3 linked regions of the Sus scrofa genome follow. Each later gene encodes a partner of the first gene's protein in a complex. Links are inferred from orthologs where the notes say so. Each region holds a gene or a part of one and is shown in the gene's direction. Other genes may lie near its edges.

Evidence for each region.
Region 2: the proteins of RPTOR (region 1) and EIF4EBP1 are in contact, whole or in part, in a cryo-EM structure (PDB 6BCX), measured with the Homo sapiens proteins. The link is inferred for Sus scrofa from reciprocal best matches to the Homo sapiens genes RPTOR and EIF4EBP1. Residues at the interface, in NP_065812.1 of Homo sapiens: Arg54, Arg305, Thr317, Asp321, Phe337, Arg338, Leu341, Ala344, Arg348, Leu437, Gln438, Leu440, Leu441, Ser442, Gln443, Arg446, Tyr475, Lys478, Leu479, Gln481; in NP_004086.1 of Homo sapiens: Glu111, Ser112, Gln113, Phe114, Glu115, Met116, Asp117, Ile118.
Region 3: the proteins of RPTOR (region 1) and ZFYVE28 are in contact, whole or in part, in a cryo-EM structure (PDB 9F43), measured with the Homo sapiens proteins. The link is inferred for Sus scrofa from reciprocal best matches to the Homo sapiens genes RPTOR and ZFYVE28. Residues at the interface, in NP_065812.1 of Homo sapiens: Arg54, Arg305, Arg306, Thr317, Asp321, Phe337, Arg338, Leu341, Ala344, Arg348, Leu437, Gln438, Leu440, Leu441, Ser442, Gln443, Arg446, Pro474, Tyr475, Lys478, Leu479, Gln481, Ser482, Ser483, Ala484; in NP_066023.2 of Homo sapiens: Arg399, Val400, Phe401, Phe402, Met403, Asp404, Asp405, Val406, Glu407.

What each region holds. Positions count from the first base shown.
Region 1 is NC_010454.4:1,747,335-1,750,976, reverse strand, and holds part of RPTOR (regulatory-associated protein of mTOR), read left to right. Parts: intron 1-532; coding exon 533-598; intron 599-938; coding exon 939-1,130; intron 1,131-1,335; coding exon 1,336-1,476; intron 1,477-3,214; coding exon 3,215-3,332; intron 3,333-3,642. UniProt on the Homo sapiens protein: Component of the mechanistic target of rapamycin complex 1 (mTORC1), an evolutionarily conserved central nutrient sensor that stimulates anabolic reactions and macromolecule biosynthesis to promote cellular biomass generation and growth.
Region 2 is NC_010457.5:48,422,716-48,426,457, reverse strand, and holds the end of EIF4EBP1 (eukaryotic translation initiation factor 4E-binding protein 1), read left to right. Parts: intron 1-604; coding exon 605-790; intron 791-3,183; coding exon 3,184-3,215; 3' UTR 3,216-3,457; downstream 3,458-3,742. UniProt on the Homo sapiens protein: Repressor of translation initiation that regulates EIF4E activity by preventing its assembly into the eIF4F complex: hypophosphorylated form competes with EIF4G1/EIF4G3 and strongly binds to EIF4E, leading to repress translation.
Region 3 is NC_010450.4:1,243,315-1,246,956, reverse strand, and holds part of ZFYVE28 (lateral signaling target protein 2 homolog), read left to right. Parts: intron 1-1,660; coding exon 1,661-2,905; intron 2,906-3,360; coding exon of another isoform or gene 3,361-3,382; exon of another isoform or gene 3,383-3,642. UniProt on the Homo sapiens protein: Negative regulator of epidermal growth factor receptor (EGFR) signaling. Acts by promoting EGFR degradation in endosomes when not monoubiquitinated.

The sequences.
Region 1 (3,642 bases):
TGTACGGCCGGCGTGCTAGACCAGGGCCACCCGCCCCGTAGGCCCGAGCAGGACGGGGTGATCGGGGGCTGCGTGTTAGCAGGGCGGCCTCCGATGGCGCAGAACCAGAGCCTGCTCCCGCTGCAGCATCGCAGCCTCCGGGAGACCAGCCCAAAGCTGCCGAGCCCTCTTCAACGGGCGTTCCTTCTGTGGCCTCACAGCGGGAGACGATAAAGCTGGACCTTGTCATTTATTTATTTTTGTCTTTGTTTTCTTTTAGGGCCGCACTCGCGACATATGGAGGTTCCCAGGCTAAGGGTCTAATCGAAGCCATAGCTGCCGGCCTCCACCACAGCTCCTGGCAGCGCCAGATCCTTAACCCACTGAGCGGGGCCGGGCTGGAACCCGCAACCTCATGGTGCCTCGTCACATTCGCTTGCTTGTGCCACGACGGGAGCTCCGCAGCTGGCCCTCGTCACCTGAGTTCCACATCTAGCTCCGCGTCACGTTTCCCGCGGAGGAGGCGCCAACGAGCAGGACTTGTGTTTTGCAGGCTGAGCACAGGACCATGACGGCCTTCATCCTGGCCGTGATCGTCAACAGCTACAACACGGGGCAGGCGAGTGTCACCCCGCGTCCCCACCCCCCGGGCGCCCCGGGGTCCCGAGGCGCCGCCCGAGGAACTGCTCCGAGTGATGGAACGGTGACCTCAGGAGGGGGGTTCCGGGTCCCAGCAGCCGGGGGCTCCATGGGAGGAGCAGCGGCCCGGCCCCTCTGGCTGCAGCTGGGGGAGCTGGAATTGGTGGGAGTGAAGTGCGGGAAATTGAGCACGTCCTGCGACGGGACCCAGCACAGTCCCCCCAAGAAAAGCCAGGTGCTGGGGTCCGGCCCGCCACCCTCCTCCCTGCTGGTGGTCGGGGCGTGATGGGGTGACGCCCTGCACTGCCGCCTGCTTGCAGGAGGCCTGCCTCCAGGGGAACCTGATCGCCATCTGCCTGGAGCAGCTCAGCGACCCCCACCCCCTGCTGCGCCAGTGGGTGGCCATCTGCCTCGGGCGGATCTGGCAGAACTTCGACTCGGCCCGCTGGTGCGGCGTGAGGGACAGCGCCCACGAGAAGCTCTGCAGCCTCCTCTCCGACCCCATCCCCGAGGTGCGGCTGCAGGACGGCTCGGTGCTGGAGGCCACCTGCTGGGGGCAGGAGCACGGGCTGGCCTCTGGTCCCAGCAGCTCTCGGCCCTGGTGGGGGTGGGGGGGAAGCTCGTGCCTCGTTCCTCCCTGGCTAGGGCTCCTCTGCGCTTGGGGCTGGGCTGAGAGGAGGGCCAGCCGGCTCAGGGTGACCGCCGCCCTGCCCGCAGGTGCGCTGCGCAGCAGTCTTCGCCCTTGGCACCTTTGTGGGCAACTCAGCAGAGAGGACGGACCACTCCACCACCATCGACCACAACGTGGCCATGATGCTGGCCCAGCTCATCAACGACGGCAGCCCTGTGGTGCGGAAGGTGGGTGCCCCCCCTCCGCAGCCCGCGACCCTGGGCCGCAGCCGCGGGCTCTCAGTCCCCTGGCACGCACCCTGGCCAAACGCACTCTCCAAAGTGCGTTTCTTCACCAGATACTCATGTTTGCTTCATTGAAAGGTGTTTAACAGGCCACGTCTCCGGGCAGCTTGTACAGTAGGCAGCATGTGCCCCCCACGGAGGTTCAAAAGCCGTGGCCTCTCAGGCAGGCCCGGGGTGTGCCGCGTTCTCCCCGCCCCACCCCACACGTTTGTCTTGACTGAGCCCAGCAGTCTCTGCAGTGGGAACCTTGCCTTGTCCGTTTAGATGCAGAAATACCATGCTTTCCGTGCGAGGTCTCACTCCCCTTCCAGGGTTGGCTCAGCACAGCTCAGCCCGCCCCTCCCCCAGCCAGAAGGGGCCGTATTTCGGGTGGACGCAGGGCAGCGTGGTCCTGTGACCGTGAGCGGAGGTGCCGCGGTCCCCAGCCTGGAGATGGCTGTGCGGGGAGGGGCTGTGGTCTGGGGGGGTTTGCTTGGAGAGCTGTCTTGGTGGCAGGAACTTTCAGCAAGTTCCCATCAGCCGGGAACCACTCATCCCGCCTCGTGCCCCCGGGGAACGTGAGGCCAGCTCCCAGGACGCCAGGGTTTCTAGAGAAGCCTTGGCTGAGGACGCTCCGCAGGCGCCTCGGCCCGAGCTCGGCTGTCTTAGCTTCTGCCCGACGCGGGCTTCCTGAGTCAAAGGCTGCTTTTTCCCGAGTCGCATTGCCTCTGGTGGGTGTCACCCATCAAAGCAGCAGATCAGCAGTCTCTCAAGTTGTCTGTTGAGACTGCTTCCAAAGGAAGGAACGCTGTCTTTTAGCTCTTCCCTAACAAGCTTTGAGATAAAAAAGAGCGGTGATGAGAATAGACTACCCGAGGGACCAGGGAGTGGCCGCCAGGAGCACCAGAGCCTCCGCGCTCTCAAGCCTGTGTCCACATGTGCCCTGGGCGCCCTTCTGGGCTGGAGTCCACTCACCACCCCGTGACCAGCCACCCGACGCCCGTGGGCAGCTGTGTGGGCAAGGCCTGCTGGTTCTGAGTGTGACAGCGCTAGACTGTGGCGAAGGCGGACCAGCTCTGCCGGGAAGGGGAGGGCTGCCCAGAGGGTCTCGCATCTGAACGTGTCAGCCCCCCGCTGGTCTTCCCAGGCCTGAGAATAGCGTGAGGCCAGCCTGCGCCCAGCCGCACCTGACCATGGGCCTCCCTGGGGCCGGGTCGATCTGCTCTGGGTCCAGCCCAGCCCTTTCAGCCCCTCACAGTGGAGGGAAAATGGGTGCTTTTTGAAGAGGTGCAGGCTTCGTCTTCACCAGGAGGAGCCGGCAGGTGCCCCTTGGCGGCCTGCTGCTCTGCAGTGGGGCTCAGCCTCACCCGTGGGAGGAGGCCCTGCGGGCTCTTCCCCATCCCACACCACGGCACCCTCACCCTACGTCTCTACAAGGCCCTCCAGCCCTGTCGCTCACACCTGGCGGTCAGCAGTCACCCCGCCAGGTGTCCCAGGCGTTTTTGGAGGCCGTGATCCTGACACCCTGCTTGCTCAGACGCCTCTGCCCACGCTGGGTGCTCCAGTGCTGTGTTGAGCGGGGAGCCCCTTTCCCGGTGCCCAGCACGGTCTGTCCCCCATCCTTCTCCATGGTGGCTCCAGCATGCAGCGCCCGCATCGTCTCCCAGCCCCACGTCAGCGTGCTTGTGCCTTCTCCCGGCAGGAGCTGGTGGTGGCTCTGAGTCACCTTGTGGTTCAGTACGAAAGCAACTTCTGCACCGTGGCCCTGCAGTTCATGGAAGAGGAGAAGAACTACCCGCTGCCCTCTCCGGCCGCCACAGGTATGGTGCCACGGGCATGGCGCCACAGTTACAGCGCCACGGGTGCGGTGCCAGGAGAGCCCTCGAGGCTCGTGGAACTGGAGCCCCGTCGGGACTGTCCACAGGCCCCTAAGCCCACAGGCGAGTCCTGGCCGCTCAGGTGTCTGCGAGTCCCGCCTTCCCCGCCCCGAAGAAGGGCAGGGCCGCCCCCTGACGCTTCTCCTGCCTCTCCGCCCTCTTGCGAGATCCCAGTCCTGGAAACCCGGAAGGGCGGAGGTGCTGCTTCTGGGCCTCAGGGAAGCTCGTCTCCCTCCGTGAGAGTCCTCACGTC
Region 2 (3,742 bases), on another chromosome or scaffold:
CATGCCCCCCTGTATCCCCATGGGTGTCCCTTAGTGAATGTGGATTCGGTTTTTCCAGCACTGTGGGCTGTGGCGCAGTGGTTAACAAATCCAACTAGGAACCATGAGGTTGTAGATTCGATCCCTGGCCTTGCTCAGTGGGTTAAGGATCTGGCGTTGCCATGAGCTATTGTGTGGGTCGAATACGCAGCTCGGATCCCATGTTGCTGTGACTCTGGCGTAGGCCGGTGGCTACAGCTCCGATTAGACCCCTAGCCTGGGAACCTCCGTATGCTGTGGGAGTGGCCCAATAAAATGGCAAAAAGACAAAAAACAAAACAAAACAACAACAGAAATGTGTGGTCTCAGTTCTGGAGGCTGGAAGTCCGAGATCAAGGGGTTGGCAGGGTGGTTCCTTCTGAGGCTGTGAGGAAGAATTTGATCCAGCCTACTCCTCTCCCAACCCCCTGAGCTTCTGATGGTTTGCTTGCAATCCTTGATGTTCCTTAACCCTTGGCTTTTGTAGGAAAACCTGCCACCTGTGCTGCAGCCATACCTCAAAGAAGTAGGAAAAAGAGCAGGTGGGGACTTCGAGATGCTTAACAGTATTCCCACCCCCTTCCAGGTACCAGGATCATCTATGACCGGAAGTTCCTAATGGAGTGTCGGAACTCACCTGTGACCAAAACGCCCCCGAGGGACCTGCCCACCATTCCCGGGGTCACCAGCCCTGTGGGTGATGAGCCCCCCACAGATGCCAGCCAGAACCACCTGCGCAGTAGCCCAGACGACAAGCCGGCGGGGGCGGGCGGTGAGTGCAGGACTTGGCCAGGCTCTCCCTTGGGAAGGAACATGTGTGGTCCCATCCGCTGGGGGGAGTTCAGGGAAAACACTGGCGATCACCCCACCCTCCATGGAGCAGCCCAGAGCCCAGAGGATGGAGGTAGGGATGGAGCATAGAGTTTTCATCCCAACCAGCTTTCCCCATGAAAATGGCCCAGGAACCCAGGAAAGGCCATCATCTGGCAACTCACTAGTGGGGAGCTTGTTTGAAACAAGAGGGGACCACACAGCCACTTTGCTAACCTTTATATAGTTGTCCCTGAAGCATTTCCAGGCGACTGCAACACTTGGAACATACCCACGATGTTCCTGTGCTGGAGGTGACCTATCAAAGGCCCAGTGTCCTCGCCCTCTAGGAAATTACATGTCTGTATCAGAAAGGCTTCTAGGATGCCTTCTGCTAGGGTGTTGTCTGTAGTAGATTCTTGATGAACAGAGGAGAAACAGTGCAACCGGTTTCTTTTGTTTTTTTGTTTTTCCTTTCCTTTTTAGGGCCACACCCACAGCATATGGAAGTTCCCAGGCTAGGGGTTGAATCGGAGCTGTGGCCACTGGCCTGCGCCACAGCCACAGCAACATGGGATCTGAGCCGCATCTGCGACCTATACCACAGCTCACAGCAACGCTGGATCCTTAACCCACTGAGCGAGGCCAGAGCTCAAACCCGAATCCTCCTGGATACTAGTCAATTCTTAACCTGAGCAGCCACAAGGGGAATTCCGCAACCAGTTGTTTCTGCAGGTTTGACACAGTAGCTGGGTCCTTCCTGGTGTTTGTTCTCTCCATCCCCCACCTCCATCCTCCCAAGTCATCAGAGCAGCCACCCTGGCAGAGGTGAACGCAGTCTGTGGCATTGGGACTGGCTGGCCCCGGGCATCTAAGTGCTCCTGCTGCAGGAGGATGCAGCATAAGCACTTGCAGACAACCTGAGTCAGCGGGCAGCCTGCTGACCCTTTATCTGGAAGGCAGTGCACCAAGCCCAGACAGGAAGCAGCTGGGACCTCAGGCTGGGCTGGCCCTGCTGAGAGCAGCAGAAGCCATCTCCCCAGGGCCTGCAGGACATGATTCATATTTACCTTGGGAACCCTACCACCCAAGACAGGCTGGTTGCCTCACCCTCAGACAAGGAGAGCAGGGGGTGGAAGGGCGTGGACTCAGACACACAGGGAGCATGAGGAGGGCAACTGAAGACTGGAAGTTGAGGATGGAGGTTGTCAACACCTGACATTGCTGCATCACTCTCACCTGGTCCGTTGCCCCCACTTGTACTCCCTCTTCCCTCCCAGTTTCTAGAGCTGTTCTGTCCCACAACAAATGGAGGGTGGCCCAGCAGTGCCCCCAGGTGGACCACTCTGACCCCACAATCATGGCCTAGTGTTCCCCACAGTTGCTGGGTTGGGGTTTAGTGGAGGGGGGTGCCAGCATGATTTTCTCTTTTGCTTAACTGGATATAAGAAGCCAAGGGACCAAGAATTCCTGTTGTGGCTCAGGTTAAGAACCCAGCATAGTGTCCGTGAACTGCCCTAAAATGTGATGTGGATACATCATTGCCATGACTGTGATATTGGCTGGCAGTTGCAGCTCAGATTGGACCCCTTGCCTAGGAACTTCCCTATGCCGCAGGTGCAGCCCTAAAAAAAAAGAAAAGAAAAGCAACCCCCTGCAGCATGAATTACTTGGAAATGGTAATGGTGAGAGTTGGGTGAGGGCAGTGAGTGGCTAAATTACCCAAATAACTGCCATACCACAGGGTCAGGCTGGGTCAGGCTGTTCCACACACAGTGGGATATATGCCTGGTAGGTTAGGGTACTGTTTTCTAAACAAGAAGTTGGGACATGTGCTCAAAAGGGTTTTATGTTTAAGGAATATTTGTCTGTGAAGTTGTATATATTTCAAATCACAAGGAACCATTCACACTTATTAAAAATGATACATTTAGAGTTCCCTGGTGGCTCAGTGGGTTAAGGATCTGGCATTGTCACTGCTGTGGCTTGGGTTACTACTGTGGCACAGGTTTGATCCCTGGCCCAGGAACTTCCGCATGCCATGGACACAGCCAATGATAATAATAGTAGTAGTAATAATAATAATGCCTATATGGAATTCAGGGCTGTCACCTCTCCTGCTGGGAGATGTGGTCTTTGCTCTGCCTTTAAGACTTGAGGAAGGGAGCACAGCTGGACATGTATTTCCAGGAATTCCTGGTCCCACCCTTCCTCTGTTCTTGGCAGCCCAAACCTGGCCCCTGCTCTGCTGGTAGGGACAGAAGAATGGGAAGTAGTGCCTTTTCCTGGCCTCTAGAATGTCAGCCCTGCCCAATTCCTTTTGCTCACCTGACCCTCTGTTCCTTCTCTCCCCAGGTGAAGAGTCACAGTTTGAGATGGACATTTAAAGGACCAGCCATGGGATCGAGCAATGCCTCTGGGCCCCAGTGGCCCCTTTTGGGAGAAGGATCCCACCAGCCAGGCCTTATGAAAGTTGCCATCCTGGGCAGGCGTTGGGCGTGGGGTCGGCTGCCCCAGCCCCCTGCTTCCTCACTCAGGGCACCTGCTCCCCCTTCTTCATGAACACCAGCAGATACCTCCATGTGCCTCCACTCCTGCAGGTGCTGTCACCCCAAGAGGAGTGACCTCAGGCACACCCTGCAGCCCAGGGCCAGCTCGTGGACTCGGAGGAGCCCTTCTGAATGGTCCTCTAGCTCTTCCAGCATCCTCCTGGGGGGGGGTGTGCCCACCCCTTCCTTAGGTTGGTGTATGGAAATGCTCCCATCCCTCTCTCTTCCCAAGAAAGGAAATAAAAGCCACCTTTGCCCTAGGGCCAAGAATTGGCCCCTGTCTGAGCTCTTTTCATTCCATATGGATGGCTAACGCCAATGTCACATGCATAGTGCCCATCATGCACTTTCTATGCCTTATCTCA
Region 3 (3,642 bases), on another chromosome or scaffold:
GGAACCATGAGGTTGCGGGTCGATCCCTGGCCTTGCTCAGTGGGTTGAGGATCCGGCGTTGCCGTGAGCTGTGGTGTGGGTCGCAGACGCGGCTCGGATCCCACATTGCTGTGGCTCTGGCGTAGGCTGGAGACTACAGCTCTGATTGGACCCCTAGCCTGGGAACCTCCATGTGCTGTGGGTGCGGGTGCGGCCCTGAAAAGCAAAAAAAAAAAAGAAAGGAAGAAATTAAAATAGAACTACCGTATGATCTGGCAGTTCCTTTTCTGGGTTTACACCCCGAGGAATTGAAAGCAGCTTCCTGAAGAGATACTTGCACACTTATGTTCGTAGCAGCACCATTCACAGGAGCTGAGAGGTGGAAGCATCGGCTGATAGATGAATTGATAAGCAAAGTGTGGTCCAGCCAAGCCATGGGTATTATTCAGCCTTAAAAAGGAAGGACATTTTGACAGATGCGACACGGACGCACTTTGAGGTCATACTAAATGAAATAAGCCAGTCACGAAAATGCGATGTGTGAGTCCAGTTACACTTAGAATAGTCAAAAGCGTGGAGACAGAAAGGGTAGTGGTGGTTGTCGGGGCTGGAGGGAGGGGAAGAGTTAGGGTTTAATGGATATAGAATTTTATTTTATTTATTTTTTGTCTTTTATCTTTTTAGGGCTGCACCTGTGGCATATGGAAGTTCCCAGGCTAATGGTGGAATCAGAGCTGTAGCTGTCAGCCTACCCCATGGCTCACGGCAACGCCGGATCTTTAACCCACTAAGCAAGGCCAAGGATCGAACCCAAAACCTCGTGGTTCCTAGTCGGGTTTGTTAACCACTGAGCCACAGTGGAAGCTCCTAATGGGCCCAGAACTTTAGATTTATAGGATGAAGGTGTCGTGGGGTGGGGATAGTGATGGCTGCACAACCATGTGAATGCATTTGATAGCACTGAGCTGTCACTTAAAAATGGTTAAGATGAGAGTTCCCTGGTGACTCACTGGGCTAAGGACTTGGCATTGTCACTGCTGTGGCTCAAGTCACTGCCATGACATGGGTTCGATCCCTGGCACACAGATGGTGCTCAGTGATACATGTTGAACCAAAGAATGAAAATCTATATGTAAAAGGCATGTTTTTTTCACTCCTAAAACTTTATATGAGTGCAGCTATCATGTCCCTGAGGACCAGGGCTTGGAGCTCCTGTCATGGCTCAGTGGTTAACAAACCGGACTAGCATCCATGAGGATGCAGGTTCAATCCCTGGCCTCGCTCAGTGGGTTAAGGATCCCGCGTTGCTGTGGCTGGGGCGTAGGCCTGTGGCTACAGCTCTGGTTCGACCCCTGGCCTGGGAACTTCCATATGCCACAGGCGTGGCCCTAAAAAAAAAAGGCAAAAAGACCAAAAAAAAAAAAAAAAAAGAACCAGGGCTTGTTATGAGCAAGAGGTTTCAGAATCTCATTTCTACGGACAAGCCCACCCTAGAATCACAGTCAGCCATGCCAAGTGGCTGTTGTCCCGATGGAGCCTCGGAGACCCCACCTCTTTTTGCAGTGGAGGGGGCGTGCGCCTTGAGGTTAGTTGCAGGTGGCGGCCGCCCGGCGGCTTCTCTGCTGGGGGCTCTGGGGGCCTTGTCCACACACACCCCTGTTCTCTGTCTTGACCCTTATAGGGATTTGCTGCAGACCCTGACCGAAGAGGAGCTTCACACGCTGGAACGGAACCTCTGTATTTCCCAGGAGGTGGAGTTCCCCATCCGGGCAGACGCCCAGGTGCCGCCTGCCCTGGCACCCGCCTTTCCCGAACCCCTGGCCCCAGAGGAGCTGCTGGCGGACAAGCCCAAGAACTCGGAGGCGGAGCTGGCCTGCTCCATGCAGTACGACGACCAGGAGCTGGAGCAGCTCAGCCGCCTGGTGCACAAAGCCGGCGACGAGATGTCCTCGCTCCTGTCCCCACCCAGTGCCACCCAGTCCCCTGCGCACAGGCTGGGCGCCACGGGCAGTCCAGGGCCGGCGTCCCCAGGCAGCGCCCGGCTGCCGCAGGGCAGTGACGACGAGGAGGGCAGGGTGTTTTTCATGGATGACGTGGGAGGGGCGGCCGAGGCCCGGGGCAGCCCGTCTGGGCAGGCGGGCAGTGCCAGCGCTGACCCCCAGGAGAGAGGGCCAGGCGGGGAGAGCAGGGAGCGGGGCGCCAGCACACCTGCTGACGCGGGCAAGGGGGGCGGGAACGACAACAACAACGTCGAGGGCGACGGGGCGCGGGCAGGGGGCCCCAACTCCTGCAGCTGCCTGGACTCCCGGCCGCACCTCGACGGCTGGGAGGTGAGTTCGGACGCTGCCGAGACGGCTGAGCTGATCGCCCACCGGACCGGGGGCATGAAGCTCTCAGCCACGGTCATCTTCAATCCCAAGTCGCCTGCCTCCTTGGACTCCACCCTCGCCAGCGCAGAGGTCCCCGGGGACGGCTTCTCCCCGTCGGAGCCGGCGGCAGAGGGGACGGACGGTGGCCCCCACAAACTGAGCGCCACGGCTGCCGACTGCCTCCTCAACTCCTGCGTGTGCTGCGGGGGCTGCGGGGGCGGCAGGGAGGACGCTGCGGAGAGTCTGCGGGGCAAGTGTGGCTCTGGCAGCGTCATCAGCTCCTCCCACGTTGGCTTGGCCAAGGCCAGTGCCAAGGGCGCAGCTCCCGGACTGCCAGAGGCGGGGCCCGCCCTGGAGGCCTTGCCCTCCGAAGACGCCCCTGGCCTGCAGGAGCCCAAAGCCCCTACTCCCAACAAGTGCCTGACACACACCTCAGGGCCCCCGGGGGATGCCGCAGACGGGCTGCCCGGAGGGGGCGATGGCGCCAGTCAGCCCACGGAGGAGAGGCGGCCTGGAGGGGCAGCCGAGGAGCAGCCTCAGCGCCTGCTGGTCCCCAGGTAAGATGGGTTAGGGCCACTGTAGTCACCCTCCAGTCGTTAGCAGCTTGTCAGGCCTGCACACAACTGAGCAGTGTCCCCAGGGGCCTGGCTGCCCTGTTGCTGGTGTAACAGGTGCCTTTCTGGTGAGTGGGCACAGCGCCAGGCCCTCGGCTCACTCTTTTCATGACCAGGGTGTGATTGGCATCTGTGGACTGGGCGTGGCCAGGGCCTGGCACCCACCTGGCTGCACAGACCGTCAGCGCCAGCGTGCAGCACCGGGGCCGTGGTGGGATCAAGACCACCCTCGGGCAGTGCTCCCCCCACCCCTACCCCCATTTCGTGGGTCCTCCCCCATCCTCAGGCCTCTGAGCAGGAAAGGCGGGCGGGAGCTTGGCAGGACCCTGGCACCTACACCTCTCTGAATCGAGGCCGTTCTTCCTTCCCTTGCTCCACACGCTGGGTTTATCCTGAAGGAAGCAGTTCAGCCAGCACTAACCAGCGCGGCCACATGCCCACCTGTCTGGACATCCGAAAGGAGGTGCCAGGCCAGCCCCGGGTTCATACGGCTGGTCGCCGTGCTCTCCCACCTGCAGAGCCCTGCCTGCAGCCCCATCCTGACTTCAGTGTCCAAAAGGAAGTGAGGGGACGGAGGGGGGGCTCAGCTGGACAAGGCCCCCCCCCCGCAGCCATGGGACTGTGCTCAGAGGGGTGGTGGGGGGGCGGGGGCGGGGCTTCACACCGGAGGAGGGGGCCTC